3 linked regions of the Astyanax mexicanus genome follow. The protein of the gene in region 2 purifies or fractionates together with the protein of the main gene of each other region. This does not show direct contact. Links are inferred from orthologs where the notes say so. Each region holds a gene or a part of one and is shown on either strand. Other genes may lie near its edges.

Region 1 (8,218 bases), on a different chromosome or scaffold from region 2:
TACACACACGTCATTTTGTTACACTGTGTACCTGTACCCAGACGTAATGCCAATAAAAGCCTCTAGGCTTGACTTGACTATGTAAAATAAAAATCAGGACAGAACCGTCACTCTCAACCTTCGACCCAAATGTTCTGAACAGCCTGAGTCAGATGTCAGCGGTAGTGATGAGCACACAGGGTGGATCTTTCTAAATAACTTGAGTAATCATGGAATTTACAACTAACTTCCCCATCCAGTCTGAACTTTCAGCTGATTTAACCCCGGCCTGACTGATCTGAATTATTCTACACTATAACTCATCCTGCAGAGTGACATGTGACTCAGACATGTGACTCTGCAACAGACGTTTCCTCTGAAGTGAGACAATCACATCATGCAATTTTGTCCTTTATAGACGGGAAAACTGTGTTAATCATGATTTCAGCAACAAGTCCTGCAGATTTACAGGACACAAATCCTCTCTTGCACAACATAACACTCTGATCTAAATCAGGTAACAGTGATGTAATTCATGTAACACTCTGGCACAAATCATGCAATCAAACAGAATAAACTCGGTCACCTGAACTTTTCTCCTCAGCAGGAGCCTCTTTTGAAGAATATGGTCCAGCTCCACATTTCCTAAAACAAACAGAAAGAACAAATCAATCAATGAATCAGTATTTATTCAGCAGGATGAACAGTGTTCCTGATTTCTGCTCTTATGTAACCACAAACACATGCTGTGTTGTTGCTAGGTTACCACACGATTAATATATGGCCAATATATGAGTCAACAAGTCAGTACAATACCAGTCAAATATTTGCACTGGTTACAGTAGCAGCACTGGCAGATGGTTGGTGGACGACACCTACAGCACAGGGCACTCTGACCTGCCCAGATACATTTCCCACACAGGTCACAACATTTCTAACAGAGGTCCAGACTGCGTTCCTCAACAATACACACTGTTTAAAACTGTGCTGCTGTTGTTCTGCAGTAAGTGACTTAAACTGGAATTCATCCAAAACACAGAGAACTGCAGAAAACAGATATATTCATACTCTGCTAGTACTCCACTGCTGTGTGCTGATTCAGAACAACACAACATCTGCAGAACATCTAGAAAATCGGATAAAAGTCTGATATAGTAGGGTGTAGTGTAGTGTATAGTATAGTGTAGTGTATTGTATGGTGGTGTGTAGTTTGGTGTAGTTTACCTTTACCGTTGGTGTTGTGCAGGTCCCTCTGGTTCACTGTGCTGTCCGATTCTTTTGATCTTGTTAATTTGTGGAAGCCTCTTTTTGTCGCTCGACCTTCGATCTCATCTTCATCTTCCATCTTCCTGCTGCTGGAAGACAGGAAGGATTTTGTGTCTTTCAACCTGATCTACTGCCTTGTGGTTCAATTATTATTGCACTTACAGTTGGCTAGGGCAGCTTTAGCTGGGCAAATATTTCACAGAATTCTTTTTTCTGTTACAATGCTACATTTAGTCAATTTAGTCAATGTAGTCAATGTATGTATATATAAAAAAAAAGGTATCTTTGTCTTTCTATTTGAGCATTTATATTATATTTTACCTCTATTTATTGAAGACAACTTAATTATTTCTATATACTTTTGTGAAAAAGTTTCAGTCATCATTAGGGCTGCAACTAACAATTATTTTGGTACTTGACTAATCTGACAATTATTTTACCGATTAGTTGATTAGTCACCAATTTCTCCTGCCATGTTCTCCGTCGCTAAAAACAATAGAAACAGCTAAGCATAAGATTTAAAAGCCATTTAAATGTCCAGATGTTGTTTAAACATGAAATTTTAAATATTAGTCGACAATGAAATTTGTAGCTTACAAATTTTAAATAATCGATACTGCCGATTATATCGACTAACCGTTGCAGCCCCAGTCATCATGACACATTATATGGAAAATTATGGACATTAGAATAAATATAAAAGTAGTGAAATTTGCTGTTGAAAAATACACTTAATTATTTATTTATTTTTACATTGTCAGATAAAAAAAAAATATAATCTATAAATGCAAATCGTTTTTATTAAAAAAGAAATGCTAGCTAAAGCCAGAGGTGAATTTAGACATTTAGTAGATAGATTTAAATATATATAAATATGAATATGTATATCTTAAGTTATTTTGAAATGTATTTTTTTCTACAGCAAACAAGTTACAAGTTCAAAACAAATTGTAAATAAATTCCAGTTTATAAATTATACAAAATAATAATAATGACAAAATAAACTAAATTGTATATATTTTTTCAAATTTAAAATCTGATCCATACATTTTAAAACTTAAAAAAAATGAAATACAAATTCTGGCCAGGAGTCAAACATCAGTTCGTGAAATAATTTTTTTTAAATCTGAAAATCAGTCATTATTTCAAAGTGTATATGTTTTCAATAGCAAACTTACTTTACAAGGTTAAACATTTTAAACACACAAAAAAAAAGCATTGTTAAAATTTGAATGTGTGCATTATGCCATTACATATTTCAAGTTTATCCAGAATCGGGTTTATTTAATTCAAATATACAGAATGCTTTTTTAAATACTTTTAATAGCTTTTAAGGTCTGCTTTATACTTTGTTGCCACCTTGGGGGATCTATACTTTTAATGTTATGGATGATTCTTTTAATGTTATGGATGATTCTTTTAATGTTATGTGCGTCTCTAATATAAAATACTGAAACACTGAAACTTCATTGTGATTCTATTCATTCTGTTCTGTCTCGAGCCACACTCTTTAACATCAATAAAAACATCAAAGCATGATCTCACACACCTGTCTGTGGAGGATCAAAGTGGTATAAAAATGTCGTCACAAATTAGGTCCTAGATCTACTTAATTTCACTGAGGATTAGTAAAAAAAAATCTGAGCAGGTTCTGCAGACAGAAGCGCAGTCTGGAGATGTTGTGGGTTCTGAGCGGGCTCTGGAACCCTGATCTGAAGCTGCACGAAGTGCTCGCGCTGGGTCTTCTCCCGGCCTTTGATCTTATAAACAAAAAGAACATGATGTAACTCACCTGTCAGATCGTCCCACACCTACTCAAGGTTCTGGATCTCTCTGAGAATCTGTTTAGGCTGGAGAACCGAGCAGATCAGCTGCTGAACCTCCTCATGATAAGGAAGACGTTCTGCACAGTGGGCGGGGCTACAGCTGAGTGACGCTCCCACTGTCCGCTCCGATTGGCTACGATAAGGTTGTATGACAGGATTTGTGCCAATCACTGGAATTGTTTTGAACAGAGACTCTAGATTTGACATATGGACGTCATGAAACATACACTATATTCCATATGTCCAAATGTATTTGGGACACCTGACCATTTATTTATTCATTATTTCTTCTCAAGTCAAAAAAAAGAAAAATACAATTCTGTTTTTGTTGGAGTAACTGCCTCCACTGTCCAAAGTGAGAAGATGTTTACAAACTTTTGGAGAAGAGCATTGCTGTGAGGATTAAACTGCATTCAACCACAGGAACTGAGAGATAGTGATGACAGTAAAGATATTTTTAATGATCACCACCCCCAAATCATTCCCAACTCTTCAACTTAACCCCACCTCATCCCCAACTTCCCATCTCATCCCCAATTCCTCCAACTCTTCCCCATCTCATCTCCAACTCATTGCCAAATCTCCAACTCATCCCCAATTCTCCAACTCATCGCCAAATCTCGAATTCTTCCCCAACTCTCCAACTCATCGCCAAATCTCCAACTCTTCCCCAACTATCCAATTTATCCACAACTCCACCCCAACTTCCCATCTCATCTGCAATTCCCCAACTCATCCCCAACTCTCCAACTCATCGCCAAATCTCCAACTCATCCCCAACTCCACCCCAACTTCCCATCTCATCTGCAATTCCCCAACTTATCTCCAACTCATCTCCATATCTCCACCTCATCCCCAACTACCCATCTTATCTCCAACTCATCCTCACCTTCCCATCTCATCCCCAACTCCCCATCTCATCTTCATCTCCCCACAGCTCACCCTAACTCTCAACCCCAACTATCCAACTCATTCCCAACTCTCCAACTCATACCTAGCTCCCCAACTCATCCCCAACCCCCTAATGTGAGACTTCCCACTTGAGAATCTCTTCCAGGTTTGTTTGACCATTAGAGGGTGCACTAGAGTGAGTCCGAAATAAACGGTTTATATGGAGAAATTGAGTTTATAAATATTCATTTCATTTTCATACTGAACAAGTTCTTATTTTCTCAACACAGACCAATGTCACATGTTTCAGTACCAAAATACATAATTTTCTGAAGAAAAACATATAAAATATATAGGTAAGTTTTCTTTCTTTTATTTATTTTAGCAAAAATACATTATACTTTCTAAAATTTAAGGAATATCCTGGCCAAGTCGATAGTACTGAAGTAATATTATACTTCAGTAACTATTATATAGTTTCACATTTTATATAGATAATATCATTTAGATATATTACACACAGAGCAATATATTCAGGATGATTTTAATGATTTTATTAATGCAATGTTTTTCTCGAAAATCTTACAGCACTTCATGCTTTCCTCTGCTAACAACTTTTGTGGAGAAGCGGCTTTCATTTTTTTCAGCAGGATTTGGAACACTGCCCACACTGACAAAAAGTACCAATTTGTATTATATTATATTCTAATTTTCTGAGACACTGATTTTTTGGGTTTTCTTTGGCTGTAAGCCATAATCATCAACAATAAAATAAATAAATGCTTAAAAGATTAGCCTACTCTGTGTGTAATACATCTATATAATATATGCGATTAACTGAAATAAAGTAACTTTTCAATTACATTCATTTTTTTAAGAATAAAGCTGAGAAAGAAATAATAAAGGAATAAAACTCTGAATTAAAGCATTAGCTTTAGCATTAGCGCTGTTAACCACAGTAACTGCATCACTTCCGCCTGGAAGCGGAAGAGCGTTTGTTTATGTACTGCAGCAGCTGCAGGAGTTCAGAGCGTGAGTTTAATCACAGTTGAGAGAATGTTCAGATAATTACAGAGAGAAATACATTTATTACCTTCAACTGCAGAACCGCGGCCTGTAGAACTCTAACCCGAACCGAACCGCGGGCTGTAGAACTGTAGCTGTGTGAGTGAGTGTTGTTTACGGGTTTAGTATAGTCAGTGTTGAGGATCGGTGGTAATATTAATGTGAATAATAGAGACTCTGTGGGTGAGAGGAGACTCTACAGGGTTTATTTGTGGAAATTCAGAGTCTGTGAAGGTCTGCGTTTGTAGAATAGGAGATTTGGATTAATTTTTCGGACAGAGATTAATAACAGTCCTGAACTATTTATTAATTTCAGTAGAGAGTCTCCACCCAGAACAGAGTGAAACCAACCTTTAGTCTAAAGTGAACTGAAAGTGAATTTAAGCACAGTGAGGAAGAGGAACTGCTCATACAGCTGCTTTCATTTCTATTATCTCTTTTTATATAAAAGTTTTGTTTATTACTGTCACTGACTAAACCAATAACTGATTAAACCAATCCCTGATTAAATATCTTATCAATAACAGAGTGATGGCGATGCTGAGCAGTAAAAGTGATCAGGAGATCGGCTGGATGTTGGACGATTACGGGATAAAACATGGTCCTGTAGTCGGTAAGCTTTTATTATTAATAATATTTATTTATTTGTTATTATTAATGAATAAAACATTATTATAGTGATCTAGTTTAGTATCCCTCTCACACCATTGTGTATAAATTAACGAAAAGTGTACAGAGTATATTATTATGTGATTGCAAACAGTATGAATTTTGTGGTTGTGTGGTGTGTATTATGGAAAAAAAATACAGTGTGAATTTAGGGGTGGTGTGTGGTGTGTTATGGGGTAGCAAACAGTATGAGTTAAGGGGTAGCATACAGTATAAATTTAGGGGTAGTGTGCAGTATGTTTTATAAGGTAGCATACAGTATGAATTTAGGGGCAGTGTGCAGTATATATTAAGGGGTAGCATACAGTATGAATTTGGGGTAGCGTGCAGTAGTATGTATTAAGGGGTAGCATACCGTATGAATTTAGTGGTGGTGTGCAGTATGTATTAGGGGGTAGCATACAGTATGAATTTAGGGGTAGTGTGCAGTATATATTAAGGGGTAGCATACAGTATGAATTTGGGGTAGCGTGCAGTAGTATGTATTAAGGGGTAGCATACCGTATGAATTTAGTGGTGGTGTGCAGTATGTATTAGGGGGTAGCATACAGTATGAATTTAGGGGTAGTGTGCAGTATATATTAAGGGGTAGCATACAGTATGAATTTGGGGTAGCGTGCAGTAGTATGTATTAAGGGGTAGCATACCGTATGAATTTAGTGGTGGTGTGCAGTATGTATTAGGGGGTAGCATACAGTATGAATTTAGGGGTAGTGTTCAGTATGTTTTAAGGGGAAGCATACAGTATGAATTTAGGGGTAGTGTTCAGTATGTTTTAACGGGAAGCATACAGTATGAATTTAGGAGTAGTGTTCAGTATGTTTTAACGGGAAGCATACAGTATGAATTTAGGGGTAGTGTTCAGTATGTTTTAACGGGAAGCATACAGTATGAATTTAGGAGTAGTGTTCAGTATGTTTTAAGGGGAAGCATACAGAATGAATTTAGGAGTAGTGTGCAGTATGTATTAAGAGGTAGCATACAATATGAATTCAGTGGTAGTGTGCAGTATGTTTTAAGGGGTAGCATACAATATAAATTTAGGGGTAGTGTGCAGTATGTTTTATAAGGTAGCATACAGTATGAATTTAGGGGTAGTGTGCAGTATATATTAAGGGGTAGCATACAGTATGAATTTAGGGTAGTGTGCAGTATGTTTTAAGGGGTAGCATACAGTATGAATTTAGGAGTAGTGTGCAGTATGTATTAAGAGGTAGCATACAATATGAATTCAGTGGTAGTGTGCAGTATATATTAAGGGGTAGCATACAGTATGAAATTAGGGGTAGTGTGCAGTATGTTTTAAGGGATAGCATACAGTATGAATTTAGGGGTAGTGTGCAGTATGTTTTATAAGGTAGCATACAGTATGAATTTAGGGGTAGTGTTCAGTATGTTTTAAGAGGAAGCATACAGTATTAATTTAGGAGTAGCGTGCAGTATGTATTATAGCATACAATATGAATTTAGTGGTAGTGTGCAGTATGTTTTAAGGGGTAGCATACAGTATGAATTTAGGGGTAGTGTGCAGTATGTTTTAAGGGGTAGCATACAATATGAATTTAGTGGTAGTGTGCAGTATGTATTAAGGGGTAGCATACAGTATACATTTAGTGGTAGTATGCAGTATGTTTTAAGGGGTAGCATACAGTATAAATTTGGGGGTAGTGTTCAGTATGTATTAAGAGGCAGCATACAGTATGAATTTAAAGGTAGTGTGCGATGTGTTATTGTGTAGTGTACAGTATGAATTAAAGGGTAAATTGTAGGGTGTACAATGGAGTAGCCTGCTGGGTGTATTAATGGCGTAACGTACAGTATGAATCAGTGCTGGATAAAAGGAAAAGATTATAACAGTTTTTAATGTGACGGTCTGTCAGAAACGACCAGGACTCTGTATGAGAAGAAGCTGAGAGAAGCCATGGCTAAAGAGAGAAAAGTCAAACGTCCATCAGAACGAACCTTTTACAGAGAAGGTAAAAAATATAATTTTATAAAATTACAGTTGTATAGTGTGTTTAATATCTTTTAATCCAGGCTTACCATTTAGCGCCAAGTTCTTTTAAAGCACCACAGACAACTGACTTTCTGTGTGTATGTGTGTGTTGTACACACTCTGGACTGATCAGATGGATCTTTAAGTGTTTATTGATCTACAGATGTATAATGACTGGTTTATAGAGGGTGAATTTGCTGTGATTTGTGTGTTTTAAATCCTGATCCACTGGATCAGATCAGGAGAACCCTAGTAAAAATGCTCTGAATCAGTTTTACACCTTTAATAACTGTCTGTCTCTCTTTCAGAGGAGAAAGACCCCTACGTTCATTATCGCCGACCGGTAAGTCAAACCTCTCACCTTTAATTCTACCAGTTCTCTTTTATCTAAGAGGTGATGAGGATGATCTCACTGTTTTCTGTGTTGGTACAGTTGAGGCAGGAGGGGTACGGAGGTGATTGGAGGTAATTACGTTTTAAGTTTCTGCTCCAGCTCCTGCTTTAATGCTCTTTGATGTAATGTCAC
Region 2 (7,764 bases):
GAGAGCAGAGCGTGAAGTTCAGGGTAGACTGGAGAGAGCTGGACTCATCAGCTTCAGCACTGAGCTCTTCCTCCAGCTGGACCTTCAGTGATGGACTGAAGCTCATGAAAGGGCAGAGAGCAAAGAGTGAGAGAGAGAGAGAGAGAGAGAGAGAGAGAGGGAGAGAGAGAGGAGGTGCCACATGAATTCAGTTATATTTATCCCTCTGAAAGATGACACTTTGACATTTTAAGACGTGCATGTAGCTGCTATGATGTAAATCCCTGCCAGCCCATGCAAATAAACTGGTGCTTTCCCAAATTATATATATATATATAGCTCTGGAAAAAAAAATCATAAAAGCTCTGGAATATAATCAAGAGGAAGATGGATGATCACCACAAGCCATCAAACCACCAAACTGAACTGCTTGAATGAATTTTTGCACCAGGAGTAAAGCAGCATAAAGTTATCCAAAAGCAGTGTGTAAGACTGGTGGAGGAGAATAATATAATTGCAAGATGCATAAACAAAACTGTGTTTAAAAACCACTGAACTCTTAAAACTTTATGAATATGAACTTGTTGCTTTGTTTGCATTATTTGAGGTCTGAAAGCTCTGCATCTTTTATTTGTTATTTCAGCCCCTCAGCCAGGAGAAATGTTGGCCGTAGTTTATAAAATAAAACAACAATGTTAATTTTACTCAAACATAAACCTATAAATAGCAAAATAAGGACTCAAGGATTGCCCTGTACTATGACTATCTTTTCTGTCCCTGCTGAAGAAAAGCTTATCTCCACAGCATGATGCTGCCACCACCATGTTTCACAGTGGGGATGGTGAGCAGTGTTCGTTTTCCGCGCTTTGCATTTAGTCCAAAAAGCCTTAAACCTTTTTTTTTTGGTCTGATCTGACCACAGAACCTTCTTCCACATGTTTGCTGTGTTCGTCTACATGGCTTGTGGCTACAAACTGCAAACGGCACTTCTTACTTCGTCTTTCTTTCAACAATGTTCAACAACTCTTTCATAAAGGCCAGATTTGAGGAGTGCACAACTTATAGTTCTCCTGCAGATTCTCCTGATCTGTACATGAGCTGTGGATCTCTGCAGCTCCTCCAGAGTGACCATGGGTGTTTCGTTTAATTTTGTTCCCCCAATTTCGCAATTATGCACCACTTTCTAAAATCTCAATAAAACACATTTAAGTTTGTGGTTGAGACAAAATGTAAAAAAGTTGAAGGAGTATATAAATACTCCAGTGACTATTAGTCTACACTGTCTATACTGTCGCGCATCATTGCTATTAACAGAAATACTTTTCAGTACTACATCAATCGATCAACAGAGATAAGAGAACAGATTCTATAGTTACTATAGTCGGATTAAATCTCTTAGCAACCAGAGGAAGATGATCCTGCCTGAAGGGTTGTAACCTTGCCTGGGGCGGTGGGGACTGTCCAACCATCTAAAATTATTCTACCAGCTGCAGACTATTCTTAGTCTTAAAAAAGACCTGCATATACCCACTCTAGTTCTCTCACAGCCAATCAGCTTTACTTCATTTACATGTGAGCGATTCTTTATCCTTTATTCTTTATTTAATATCAGTACTTTATTAATACATCTTTAGATGTTGATGAAAAAACGTGACACACTGTATTTCTGACTGGACCAATCACAGCTTATATTTCTTCGCTGTCCAGTGTAAAAAACACTTATCTCAATTTTTGTCGATTTTTTGTTTACTACATAATTTGAACAGCAAAACTGTCTCTTACACTGTGCTAAAATTTCTTGATGAACGAACCAATAGAAACTCTTCTAAATGACCTGAAATAAACTCTTTTTACATTGACTTCTATTAAAAGTTAAGAAGGTTTTTTCTCTCTCCTATAAAGTTAATATTAAGAGGGAATCGGCTTCCACATGTATATTTACTAGAGCATTTTAAAAAACATATCAATTAAATATCACTGAACTCATATTGAGTTAAATACGCAATGTTAAACTCTTCTGTCTTTGTTATATTTAGATCTGTATATTTTTACACTCTGAATGCAGTAAAGCAGTATGTACTAGAACTGCCTAATTAAACTAACTATAAAATACCATTTAATACAATTGGAAAACTGCTTAATTTAGCAATTATTAAAAGCTAAGGCTAAAAGTTAGCACTCCCTAAAGACCCAACACCCACTAAAACCCACTAAACTAGCAGCACTTCCTGCTGAGAGTCATACTGTTCAGCATGAGGGGCAGTCAGTCATTGGTGGAACAGGGGAGGATTTGGGGGTGTTTTTTTTTTATTTTTTTTACCAATAATAACAATCTAACTAAATAAAACATATTCTGTTTTTCACAGTAGATGGCGCTCTTTCTTTAACCCTCATCACTCCTAGGGTGATGTGGATCAGCACAAGGCTGCGTCTGTGAGCTGATGTATCAGAACCGAGTCGCTGCCCTTTATTCCCAGCGTTAGAGCTGCTGTGATGCTACTCGGCAATGCTACAGCATCAGCAGCAGTTCAAAAAGAGGCGGAGTCTGACTTCACATGTGTCGCAGGAGGCGTGTGCTGGTCTTCTTGGGTAATTGGCCTTGTAAATTGGGAAGAAGATTAGATAAAAATTTGAAATTAGCAATAAAATACACAAAAATTCTAAAGGTCAGCTCAGGGCCCTATATAGGCAATTGATTGGTTTGCTTGCCCTGTTGATACGGGTCTGATACCAATACTCTATTATTGTTTAGAAGATAGCCATGTTCTTCTGCATGAATGCTGCACTAACTAACTAATGCAGCAGGAACATTTTCTGGGAAAAAATATGTTTTAATCCTGACCTGAACCAGTGTTTCATCAAAATTCCTCTTTTATTGACTCGACTTAATCAGCGTCCTGGAAACCACATGTCTTTTACGGCTCTGTATTAATGCAGGGTGGTTGCCTGGCTTCATAACCTGCAGTAAACGTGCAGCAGACTGATGATGAGCGTGAGTCACTGAACTCAGGTCTAAGTTGGGTCTAATGGTTCCTGAGATCTGTGGTTCTTTGTGTGCACTGTTTATTATGTAAGCAGTAGGCGGAGTCATTATCTTGAAGGGAGGCAACAATTATCTCTTGATGTGTAGCTTAAAACATGATGGCTACACTTAAAAATGATGAGTTTCTTTGATTTTACCAAATTAAAAACCTGCGGAATATAATCAAGAGGAAGATGGATGATGATCACAAACCATCAAACCACCAAACTGAACTGCTTGAATTTTTGCACCAGGAGTAAAGCAGCATAAAGTTATCCAAAAGCAGTGTGTAAGACTGGTGGAGGAGAACATGATGCCAAGATGCACGAAAAAAAAAAACTGTGATTAAAAACCAGGATTATTCCACCAAATATTGATTTCTGAACTCTTAAATCTTTATGAATATGAATTTGTTATCTATCTATCTATCTATCTATCTATCTATCTATCTATCTATCTATCTATCTATTTATCTATCTATCTATCTATCTATCTATCTATCTATCTATCTATCTATCTATCTATCTATCTATCTACACCGTCCTCGAGTGTGCTGTTCCTCCAGCGACCACTAGAGGTCACTCTCCACACTCCACTAGCACATGGCCCAGGTGTGATATGACTGATTTTAAAGGATAAACAGATCAAATATAATTCATTTTTGTTAATTTTGTGTTTTCTACACTTTACAAACAGATTATCTATTGTTTGGTATAATGTAATGGTACTCTCAGTGTATAGTATACATATTAAACAGTGTCCCAGACACTTTTTTTTTAGAATTTTAAGGTGATTTAAATAGTCTCTGGCAGAGGAATAGCCATGTTTATTCTCCATCCTTCAATACCGTTTTAAAATAGGAAAACAAAACAAAATGTTATAAAATTATTTCAAACGTATCAACAAATGTGAACAGCAGTGGTGTTCCCATGCAGGTACTAAAAAAAGATAAAAACAAATACATTTCATTTGCCCAGAACATAAAAGGAAGGTTAAAAATATCCACTGTGATTGAGTTCTTTATAAAAAGTGAAAGATTATTCTAAAGTTTTGGAGCTGTCAGTAATTACATTGCTCTATTTTCTCTTTTCCATGAGTATTTCGTCATTGTCCAATGAAAAACAAGTATCTAAAAAACAGCAACTTTAAATTTTCTAAATATTTTTTATTTTAGGTTATTTTTAAGTATTTCTACTGGTTCTTTTATCAATAAATTTTGACACAGTGTTAGAGACTATCTGTTTAAATATTGTAGTAAACTAAAAATCAACAAAAATAGAGATACTTGTTTTTCATTGGACAGTGACAGTTTGTTATTGCGCATGCGCTGTAGTAACCCGCAGATTACACCTCTGGAGCGGCACACGTCACATCTGCCCCGTACAACAGCCCTGACCAGTAGAGCAGTGCTGATCCCGCGCGCCGCCTCCAAACGCCCTGCGCGCGCCCTGCTGGAGTACCACCCCAAGCACGCGCTCAGGACACCTCCAGATAAACACGCAGTTACCTGATTAAAATGTCACCTGCCGCTGCAGGACTCCTCTACCTGGCCGTGTTAAGCCTCGCGTGCTCCGCTGCACCTGAGAGAAAAGGTGAGTTCACTTAATTACTTCATTAAATGTAGAGTTTTATTTCTCCTGAGCGCGAGAACAGCCAGCAAAAATCCACTTTTTTATGTTTTAGGCAAGCGCTGACAAGACGAGGAGCGCGCGCTCCAGCTGATGGTTATGATAATATCCTGTGCACGCGCCTGCGTACACTCTGTCCTTAAACAAAAAGGGAAAAAATGTCATTTAAAAATGGGTCTGGAAATCTGGCATCTTGGCATCATGTTCTCCTCCACCAGTCTTACACACTGCTTTTGGATAACTTTATGCTGCTTTACTCCTGGTGTAAAAATTCAAGCAGTTCAGTTTGGTGGTTTGATGGCTTGTGATCATCCATCTTCCTCTTTTTTTTAATTTGGTAAAATCAAAGAAAATCATCTACAGCTATTACAATAACTAACAGTATAATTGTCCAGGATGTGGCCATAATTTAATCCCCTGTCATTTTGATAAAAAATGTGATTAATCACAGTTAATCACACTTAAATTTCTTCCTTAAGTTTAGACAATGGGTATTTAATTGCGAGTAAAAGATTCAAATGTTAGACACATTTACTTTTGTATTATTGGTGCCAATCCCTTAAAAATGGATAAATCACAGATAAAATTGTGATTACCTTTTTTTAAAATGCTGGTACTTAACTGTATTTTTAAGAGGGGAAAAGAAATAATGTTATAAAGTGGCAGACTAGATCTTATTATTTACGGTATTATAATATCTCAGGGTAGTTTTACTGTATTATCTAAGGGAATTTTTTATGCTTTTTAAACTAGAAAGTGTAATGTTCTGAGTTACAGAGTTTAACTGTGAGAGTTGAAATGGAGAAAATAAACACTAATGTAGCTCCATATTCTACATTAAAAAAGAGAGAGAGAGAGAGAGAGAGAGAGAGAAGGAATGTGTTAAAGTTTCCAGATTACCTGTATGCGTTAACGTGTTAATGTTGACAACCATAATATACATGTATATACACACACACACACACACACCTATGGCTGTACATACTTTAAACTAAACCGGTACAGAGAGACAAGCAAACCAGAGGTAAGGGGGGGGGGGGGGGGTTGAATGGGGTAGGTGGTGCTGATGGGTGACAGATAGAAGAGATAAGACATAGCTACGCATTTCCAGCTTCATTTATTTCCAGTCATTTATACTGAAATAAGGTGTTGGCATAGATATACAGCTCTGTAAAAAATGAAGAGAGGACTTCAGTTTCTGAATCAGTTTCTCTGATTTTGCTATTTATAGGTTTATGTTTGAGTAAAATGAACATTGTTGTTTTATTCTATAAACTACAGACAACATTTGAGGTTTCAGACCTCAAATTATATAAAGAAAAAATGTAATATTTATAAAGTTTTAAGAGTTCAGAAATCAATATTTGGTGGAAAAACTCTGGTTTTTAATCACAGTTTTTTTTTCTTGGCATCATGTTCTCCTCCACCAGTCTTACACACTGCTTTTTAATAACTTTATGCTGCTTTACTCCTGGTGCAAAATTATTTTTAAAAGCAGTTCAGTTTGGTGGTTTGATGGTTTGTGATCATCCATCTTCCTCTTGATTATATTCTGGAGGTTTTTAATTTGGGAAAATCAAAGAAACTCATCATTTTTAAGAGCTCGCTTATTTTTTTTCCAGAGCTTTATGCTATATAAACATTTTTTTAATAGGAAATCCTATTTTGATTATGGAGGAATCCTGGACATTTATACTGTTAGCAATCAAGCTCAGTTCTAAAAAATACAGCTTAAACCAATTTACGCACCTCTACTTCCCAAAAATATACAAAGATAAATAAATAAATAAATAGCGATAAAAGAAAAAAGAAAGTAAGAATTAGCGGTAATATATTGCTGTTATTAAGGAATAAAGTTAAAACTAGTAAATTTTAACTAAACCAGACCCAGATTTTGGTTATGTTGGACTAAAAGTTTACTGAGATTATTTCATTATTTTTGTATGAGAAAATGACCCCAGATATCTGGATTACTGGAATATATTTAGCTGGGCCAGAATTTCACCATTATTAAGAATGAGCACCGAGACAAGTAGAGTCAAGCCCCGACTCTGACAGTCTCTTATTATTTTAGTACAAAAGCAGTTCTTTTGTTTTTTTTTTCTTGTGCAATCAATGAGGTCAGTAACGCAGAATCATCACAATCTCTTCTGCTAAATCCCTGAAACAGGTTTGAGTTTGTCTGCTGTTACTTTTCTCACTAAACCCAGAAAAGATGTTGTCGCCATTGTTCTTTATATCAATATTAAATATTAAATAGCTTATTTTAGTTGATTTACTGGGTGAAGAACATACTAGGGCTGCACAATATAATTTTGAACAATATATATCGCGATATTAAACAATGCAGGGCCCATGATGTCACAAGCCCATTAGTCTAATGGATTTGTTTAGCTACCTGAAGTTGCAGCCATTGCTCATCTATAATACAGCTTATCTACAGGGGTTATACAATGAAACTGAAACACCTGTCATCATTTTAGTGCGGGATTTTAGGTTTCATGGCTAAATTGGAGCAGCCTGGTGTTCAATCTTCATTAATTGCACGTTGCACCAGTAAGAGCAGAGTGTGAAGGTTCAGTTATCAGGGTAAGAGCACAGTTCTGCTCTAAATATTGCAATGCACACAACATTATGGGAGACATACCAGAGTTCAAAAGAGGACAAATTGTTGGTGCACGTCTTGCTGGAGCATCTGTGACCAAGACAGCAAGACTTTGTGATGCATCAAGAGCCACGGTATCCAGGGTAACGTCAGCACACCACCAAGAAGAACCAACCACATCCAACAGGATTAACTGTGGATGCTGTAAGAGGAAGCTGTCTGAAAGGGATGTTCGGGTGATAACCCGGATTGTATCCAAAAAACATAAAACTACGGCTGATCAAATCACGCAGAATTCAATGTGCACCTCAACTCTCCTGTTTCCACCAGAACTGTCCGTCACCACAATCAATTATTGTGCTCTAAAACCAGGTGTTTCAGTTTCATTGTTCAACCCGTATAGTATTTCAAGCCGATTTTTAAAAGTCATTCTGCTTAGTTATGCTATTTGATTATCATTACGTCAGTAAAATTTCTGATTTGTCCACTTAAAATAGTCATTATGACAGGGCTAGTTTCAGTTCTGAGGA
Region 3 (8,351 bases), on a different chromosome or scaffold from region 2:
TCGACTCCTCACTCAACCCAAAGCGTCTGAAAATCAAACAGATCACATGATAATTCCCTATATCCGTGGAGTTAAATGTTCAAAATTTCTTGCATATATATATATATATATATATATATATATATATATATATATATATATATATATATATATATATATTTGTCATCTGTATGTTTAGTTTATATTTGTTCTTCTGTTGACTTTGAAGCTTTAGAATATTTTAGTATAATTTGTTGCAGGTAAAATTTTAAATCATGCAAATTTTTTTTAAGGAGTTTGTGATATTTGTTACATTAGAGTCTTGAAAAGGCAAAAAAATGTAATATTTAAGTGTGAAATGCATTTATACTAAATAAAGCTTAGACATAATTTTTTTTTCTGCAATACTGTTTTCTTGAAATTAATAAAATATCTTTGTTATATCGTCAAAAATATCGTTATCGCGATATTTCCCTGAAATATCGTGATATTATTTTAGGGCCATATCGCCCACCCCTAGTGCGCGTCATTCTGACAGCGAGCTGCGCACGCGTCAACTTGTTCTGTGTTTTGGCAGTGCTTAGCAGCTGTGTTCAGACTAGCAACGCAAACGAGCTAACTTTAGGGAGAAGTCTATTGGCTTTTATAAGCTTTGTAAACACATATATATATATATAGCTAGGTGTGTGTGTGTGTGTGTTAAAATGGTGCGGACTTGTGACTATCCAGGCTGTAGCAACAAAGATGTGGCTGATTCTCCGCAGAGTTTTCATCGTTTTCCTGTGACTGATGTTGCTCTGAGGAAACTTTGGGTACTAGCGCTGGGCATCCATGTGGACACAAAAGTGGAAAAAATAAAAAAGCTTCGTGTTTGCAGTGCGCACTTCAGCGATGATGACTTTTTATCCACATGTCCTGGACAACGACAGATGAAGAAACGGATTCTGAAGAAATCTGCTGTCCCTGCACCCCAGGTAAATAAAACTGTAGCCTACCAATGTTCTCTACAGCATTCGCTCATAGCGTAAAAAAGTTCTCAACACACCAGCATTCAGGAGTGCAGGGAAGTCACTGTTGTTTGTGATGCAAGCAGCTGCCCCGCTGACATCCTCATCAATGGATAGGTCTTGCATCTCGGGCATAACTAACTCGTGGCAACAGTAGCATTCCACCTCGGTCTGCATTATTTCGCACTTGAAACAAGTGCACCAGGATTTGTCGGCCACCCTGGGTATCGCAGCTCCAGCAGTGGCTCCAGTTTCATCTTCCACCACTTCTCTGTCCACCCTCTCTCTTTCTGCCCGATCTAATTCCATTTGGCGAAGTTCAACATCTGTATACTCGGGTTCATAAAGATATCCCCGTGGCTCTGAGCGGTGATCAATGTTTTCCTCGTCACTCTCGTAGTCAGACATGTTCTCGAGGCGAGAAGTAAACAAAGCGACCCAAACACGTAGGCTAGCTGTCAGGTTGCAGCGCTGCGCGCATTGATATGGAACGAGAGAAAGTAGGACCCAAGTGATTTACGAGGCGTGACTTTTGCAGGGTTAGTTTTTTGTGATGTAAATAAATCACTCTTTTGAACACGTACTGCTTTGGGAAGAAAAAGGAGTTATTTTCCTGACCCCAGCAAACATGCCGGACTACTTTCGCTTTGACCTAAACTGGACAAGAACTCGGCTCACAGGACGCTGTGGGGGGTAAGTCAGTGTGGATGCACGACACTGGTTATGATGATGCCATACAGACTCATGTCAAAAATACCGAACTATCCCTTTAAGAACTACACAACAGATTCTGATGAACACCCAATGTAACACAGACAATCAGAAGTTCAGGTTTTTAAATCAGTGACCAGACTGGTTCATAAACACTGTTCAGTACTACTTGAGCACTAAATGATGTGGGGTTTGTGCAATCAGTTGTACTGAAGCAATTCTACTTGTGTGTTAACAAAGGTAACAAAAAAGTTCCAGGTATCCAGCATGCATGCAGACGTACCGACTTTCCCAGCAGCCTCTGACAGTTTATGGAAATGCTGCAGCAGCTCTGGCTCTTCCTGCGCCAGCTCAGCCATTGCCCTCTCCCACTCCTCCTTTGCCTGATTGGCCATCTCCCCCTCAAACAGAGACTCAAAGAACTGACTGTCTTCCAGCAGAGGGGGCTGCAGACACACACAAGCACAAACTGTCAGTGTTTTATACACACTGAATAACATAACAAAAAAAAAATCATGAGTTCTAATAATGTCAATTAAAAAAAAAGAAAGACCCAATAACATAAATATCACGTATAAATGAAATTATAAGAATTTTAACATTCAGAAGATTTAAAGGCATTAATATTTAAAAAGAGCAAAAGGTTAAATTATGACACAACTGATCCTTACATTTGGCCCTGCACTTTTAGCTTCTTCACTGGGAGCTGCAGCGGCTTCAGGAGCCGCACGGGGCGCGCTGTTCTTGTCAAAGTCATCGAGAGCACCTAAGAACGGAGTAATCAAGTTAATAATAAAACAATAAAATAAAATAAAAAACAACAATAAAAATGACTTGGTATGAATGTTATACTTTAGATTACACAGCAATTACATTCTGCCTTATGTTTACTATATATCCAGACAACTATTATATATTACTTGGGATATATGAAATTATTCATTAGATGCCTGAATAGTTCTGGACAAATAGTTAAACTGTTGTGTAATGTATTTATTGGTAGTCTATCTAGCATACAGTTATTACTGTTAGATGTTAGAACCACTCTGTCACTGCTGTTGCCCATAATAATACTAATTAAAAAATTAATAATATTAATAATAATACGATTTGTAAACATTTACATTACCATTTACCATTTATACTATTTATAATTAAATATCCATGTAAACCTGAGTTACAGTAGATATAAAAGTGATTCATAAACAATATAAACCTAATTAAACGTGTATGCGACCATTTTTTACACTGACTGCATGATAAAGAAGAGAAATTCCACTTTGTTCTTGAATCTGTCCGGTCCACCTTAAATGATAAAGCAGTTTTATTCTAATTCCTCAAACTAGTATAGTAACTGCTGTACTATTTAAGGTGGACCGAGTTATTTAAATAAACTCCAGTTTAGTGGTAAAACAACACCAGATATTTCAGTGCCGCGCACTGTCTTACTCCTCTGTGTTATTCTGAACCCTCACTAAACAGAAACCCTACCGGGCTGCCCAGTAAACCCAGTCCTTACTGTCCAGTAACTCGTCCAGCTCCGAGTCCGCGGCCTGCTGCTCTGCCATCTTCACTCCGCACTGAGCCCGGGGACGAAGTGACGCAGCAGCGGCGTCTCCGCCACAGTAAAAGTCCCCTAAAAAAACACAAAACACGACCAATAATCAATATTCAACAGCAGGTTTTAATAATAAAAACAGGCTTTCTTTTGTTTTAAAAATGTGTTATATTACTAAGATTTTATTTATGCCATTAAATATAAACAACCCATTACATTTAAAAACACGTTTAGAATATGTTTATTATAAGTGGCTATTCTTCTAAGATCTTTTAATACTTTTTTTTATTAAATTGCAATAAAAAGTAAATTTAAAAAAATATTTTCTATTATTATATTATTAATGTATTATTAAAATACACACACAGTGGCATGAAAAAGCATTTGCCCCCCTCCAGCTTTCTTTTGTTTTTGCTTTTTTTTTGTAATAATTTTTCCAAGTATTAAACACACTTTACTATAAGACAAAGATAACCTGAGTGAATATAAAAAACAGGTCCGGGAGTTCTCTGTGGAAGAATTGTGTTCCACTTTTCTTTACAGAATTGTTTAATGCAGCCACATTGCGGGGGTTTCAAGCAAAAAACGGATCATTCTACAGCATCTTAATCAGACTTTAACTTGGCCACTCCAAAACCTTCATTTAGTTTTTTTAAGCTATTCAGAGGTGGATTTGTCAGTGTGCTTTGGATCATTGTCCTGCTGCAGAGCCCAAACACACTTTTTGAGATCTTTTAGCTGATTCATATTGTCAGGCAGGTTCTATTTAGGTGATTTCTTGATTTTACAGGTATGGCAGTAATCAGGCCTGGTTGTGGCTAGTAAAATTGAGCTCAGCTGTAAGTACGCCAAAAAAAAAAGGCAAAAACACAAGAAATCTGTAGGGGGCAAATACTTTCTGACACCACTGTATATGCATATGTGAAACTTTATGTAAAAATCACATACCACATTTTATTATTTTTATCCCTTATAAAACTGAATATATCAAAATGTATAAATTATACTATTCTCATCTTGTTTTTTTTATCCAGTCAAATAAAATGGTTTCTGACAACATACAAAGGTAAAGCAGACTGGCATAAATGAATAAAATTCCATAAGTGAAAACATACACCCAAAAGACCCTAAAAAACCCTCAAGTTTTTTTTTATTACAAATGTGTTATTAGGCATGTTGGAGATACAGCTGAGCCTGGTCTTGCTGACAGTCTTCACTTGCAGCAGAACCACACCAGATCTTGTGTGGCTCTTACAAAAAAATTAAAAAGTAGATCTTCCTCTGACATTATAGCATTAAACTGCACAGATTTGACTTAGAATAACAGCCATGGATAACAGCTAATTTACTTTCAGGAGAAATTCTAAACTATTAGCCCTGAATACTGTGTATTATTTATATGAGAGGATATTATATACACTGCTCAAAAAAATAAAGGGAAAACTAAAATAACACATCCTAGATAAAATATTCCAGTTGAAAATCTGTATTTATTATAGTGTGATGCGTTGAGAACAAAATAACACAAAAAGTATCAATGTAAATCAGAATTATTATCCCATGGATGTCTGAATTTAGAATCATACTCAAAATCAAAGTGGAGAATCAAATGACAGGCTGATCCAGCTTCAGTGGAAATTCCTCAAGATAAGTTAAAATGAGGATCAGTAGTGTGTGTGGCTCCATGTGCCTGTATGACCTCCCACAACTCCTGGACATTCTCCTGATGAGGCGGTGGATGTTCTCCTGAGGAATCTCCTCTCAGACCTGGATTAAAGCATCAGTCAACTCCTGGACAGTCTGTGGTGGACTGTGGCGTTGGTGGATGGAATAAGACGTGATGTTCCAGTTGTGCTGAATTAGATTCAGGTCTGGGAACGGGCAGGCCAGTCCGTAGCATCAATTACTTCTTTTCCACCTACAAAGTGCTGGTGCCGGAGCCGGTTCCTGCTAACCTTTTAAGGACCGGCCCGTGTTTCCTCTGCTCTAAGGGGTCACTTACTACTTATGTGAATGTGGGCGTAAACAGAAGTTGGGGGCTTTTTGAAAACAACACAGCAGAACCCGAGCTCCTTTTAAAACTTGTGCTGCTGTCCTCACTTTAGATTCATTTAGCTGCTTCTACTGCTCTTAGCTGTGAATTGAGGTGAGGTTTGTAAACAACTTTGTCCTGGAGATGCTTCAGAGCCCCGCCCTTTGGCTGCTCGCGTCACAGGTTCGATGGTTCCAGACCAGCAAGATTGTGGGGCCAGAACGGAACCGGCTTTTCTGGCCAAGAATTTGTTTTTGCAGTGGAAACGCAAAGAACCGTTTCGGGAACCTGGCACCAGCACTGGCACCATGCCGGTGGAAAAGCATCTAATGTTTCCAAAGAAATGCCTCTCCACACCATTACTGACCCACTGCCAAACCAGTCATGCTGGAGGATGTTGCAGCAGCAAAACGTTCTCCACAGCGTCTCCAGACTCAGACAGTCACGTCTGTCACACGTACTCAGTGTGAACCTGTGTGAAGAGCACAGGGCGCCAATGGCGAATCTTTGTGTTCTCTGGCAAATGCGAATCGCCCTGCACAATGTTGGGCTGTAAACACAAGCCCCACTTGTGGACATTGGGCTCTCATACCACCCTCATTTTTGACAGTTTAAGCAGAAACATGGATATTAGCGGCCTGCTGGAGGTCATTTTGCAGGGCTCTTGCACCGCTCCTCCTGTAGCGGTCCTGCTGCTGGGGTGTTGCCCTCCTACAGCCCCCTCCATGTCTACTGGTGTACTGGCCTGTCTCCTGGTATCTGCTTCATGCTCTGAACACTGTGCTGACAGGCACAGCAAACCTTGTTGCCACAACTTGTATTGATGTGCCATCCTGGATGAGCTGCACTACCTGAGCCACTTGTAGACTCCGCCTATGCTACCTCTATGGTGAGAGAACTGACAAAATGCAAAAGTGACCAAACCATCAGCCAGAAAGGATGAGAACAGAGAAAAAGGTCTGTGGTCACCACTCCTTTATAAAGGTTGTCTTGATAATTGTCTCTTATTTCTACCTTTTGTCTGTTACATTTCCACAATAACAAGTGAAATTGATTCACAATCATTGTTGCTTTCTAACTGGACATATTGATTTTACAAAAGTGTGGTTGACTTGGAGTTACACTGTGTTGTGTATAATTTAATTGTGTTTGTGAGAACCGCAGAAGGTGTAGCTGCCCAATTCACAGTACTTGCGTTGCTAACGCTAGCTCTAACTAGCGCGGGTAGCTACTTTTAGTATGGAAGCTAGCAACAGTTGCCAGGCTAGGATTGGTCAGTGTCTGTGCATGGGTGGGACTTATGCGCGCTTTTCGTTTGAGTGACGAGACACGCCGCGAATGGGCAGCCTGCGGGCGGGGTTTATGTGTGAGGTGGGTGTGGTCAGGTGTTCTTGCTGGTTTTCTGCGCTGCGTTCGGCGAGGCTGGATTTCTCCGCTGCGGATAAACCCTCAACAGCTCGCTTTGAGACTCAGCTGAAGCTGCGGGGCAGTCGGTAAGCGGTTCTGAACACTCTCCCGAACCTTCCAACACAGTTTAGACCCGAGTTTTAGTGCAGGTGGGTTCAAATCTGTGTACAGCCCCGCAGAGACCATGCGTTCTGAGGCCTGTGGTGTTAACCAGGCCGCGGGCAGCGCGCTCGAGTTTGAACGCAGACGGAAAATGCGGTGCGACTCGGCGGATTGCCGTGAAAATAAGCTCCGCGGTTTTGGGGAGGAGAGCGCTGAGCGGCCGAGGGGGGGGCGCGGACCGGCCAGCCGAGCGCGTAAACAGGCAGGTTGGTCGGTAGGTTCGGGTGCTGACCCGCGGCAAGGCGGTTTATGAACCGAAACTGTAGCGATAGAGTGGCAGCGTTCCAATATTCCCGCTCACCCTGCAGCATTCAGACGCCGAGCACCCTGCTGCCCGCCCACCGGGGTCCGCTATCGAGTGTGCACTTGAGCACTTACTTAAACGCAAGCTAGTAAAGTCATACAGTACAGTAATACACACGAGCCAACGTGTTTTAGGTTAGGTAACCTAGGTAGCTAACCTAACTAAACAAGAGTGAACTAGCGCAGCATTTTTGTAACGTCTTTGTACTCTTCAGCGAGACATTTTAAAATGGGGAAACGTTATAGTTAGCTAAATAGTTAACTAACTAGTTAAATTAATAATCTACGTGCTTTGCTTTAAGCATAGTCCTACACCAAACATAGTGTTCTAGTTTGGGGAAACAAGTATGGGAAATGCAGCTATATTTTTTCCTTACCTACTGAAGTCCACACTGTGTGTATGAGTTATTGAAGCATTTGTCACTGCATGACAAAACTAAAATGTTGTTCACTGTTATATATGTGAACAAACATACACGTGTTTTACATCAAATATTTTTGTTGAAATCTCCATTGATTGTATACGTTGTTAATGTAATTATTATAGTGACAGGCCTAGAAGTGTCACAATGCAATGTTTTTAAGTACTATATCAGTTCCCAAAACACAGTATGTTTATCAGATGTATGTTTAAAAGTTTAGGTGTTAAGATTGGTGTTTTTAATCCCCTCCCACTCGATAACACCAATACAACAATAGTGTTGTATTCTGCCTTCAGGTCCCTTTGTTCTAATTGTATAAAAAGTTACCTGTTGTTACTCACATTAGACAGTTTTCCTAATATTTTATTTTTAATCAGTATATGATGTAGTGCTTATAGTTGCAATGTATCAAGATATTTAATCGTATCCTCTGCATCATGACTCATATTAAATCCCCAGGTCCTTACCACGACCCAGCTTTATTTTAACTGTTCTACCTTTAATATACCTGTACTTAAGAAACACACTAGCTGAGCTTTTACTACATGCAGACAGTTTTTATTGGGCAGTGTCCCACAAACTGTTAGTGTTCTGCTGTAAACAGTAGCTGATCAATGCAGTTTAAGAACGCAAGTGTGCACTAGAATAGCATTCTAGATGCAACAGAAGTGTCAGCTAGTTAAATGTTGCACGTTAGTTGTTACATCTGTTTTAATGATGTTATTCTTTGTGTGCTTAAACGTCCTTTAACCTCCTGTTAGCCTCCTTAT

Evidence for each region.
Region 1: the proteins of epidermal growth factor receptor (region 2) and uncharacterized protein LOC103043983 purify together in Homo sapiens (affinity purification with mass spectrometry; 4 studies listed by BioGRID and IntAct, with this or other methods). This does not show direct contact. The link is inferred for Astyanax mexicanus from reciprocal best matches to the Homo sapiens genes EGFR and EMD.
Region 3: the proteins of epidermal growth factor receptor (region 2) and pex19 purify together in Homo sapiens (co-immunoprecipitation; 3 studies listed by BioGRID and IntAct, with this or other methods). This does not show direct contact. The link is inferred for Astyanax mexicanus from reciprocal best matches to the Homo sapiens genes EGFR and PEX19.

Annotation. Positions count from the first base shown.
Region 1 is NC_064419.1:7,954,580-7,962,797, forward strand, and holds the start of uncharacterized protein LOC103043983, read left to right. Parts: upstream 1-4,899; 5' UTR 4,900-4,994; exon of another isoform or gene 4,995-5,130; intron 5,131-5,554; 5' UTR 5,555-5,558; coding exon 5,559-5,640; intron 5,641-7,576; coding exon 7,577-7,672; intron 7,673-8,000; coding exon 8,001-8,035; intron 8,036-8,125; coding exon 8,126-8,157; intron 8,158-8,218. Other genes in the region: soat1 (sterol O-acyltransferase 1), read right to left, coding at 566-624, 1,204-1,324. UniProt on the Homo sapiens protein: Stabilizes and promotes the formation of a nuclear actin cortical network. Stimulates actin polymerization in vitro by binding and stabilizing the pointed end of growing filaments. Inhibits beta-catenin activity by preventing its accumulation in the nucleus.
Region 2 is NC_064413.1:1,351,435-1,359,198, forward strand, and holds the start of epidermal growth factor receptor, read left to right. Parts: upstream 1-4,357; 5' UTR 4,358-4,517; coding exon 4,518-4,593; intron 4,594-7,764. UniProt on the Homo sapiens protein: Receptor tyrosine kinase binding ligands of the EGF family and activating several signaling cascades to convert extracellular cues into appropriate cellular responses.
Region 3 is NC_064415.1:44,424,168-44,432,518, reverse strand, and holds the start of pex19 (peroxisomal biogenesis factor 19), read right to left. Parts: upstream 3,320-8,351; 5' UTR 3,266-3,319; coding exon 3,217-3,265; intron 2,464-3,216; coding exon 2,369-2,463; intron 2,144-2,368; coding exon 1,981-2,143; intron 1-1,980. UniProt on the Homo sapiens protein: Necessary for early peroxisomal biogenesis. Acts both as a cytosolic chaperone and as an import receptor for peroxisomal membrane proteins (PMPs).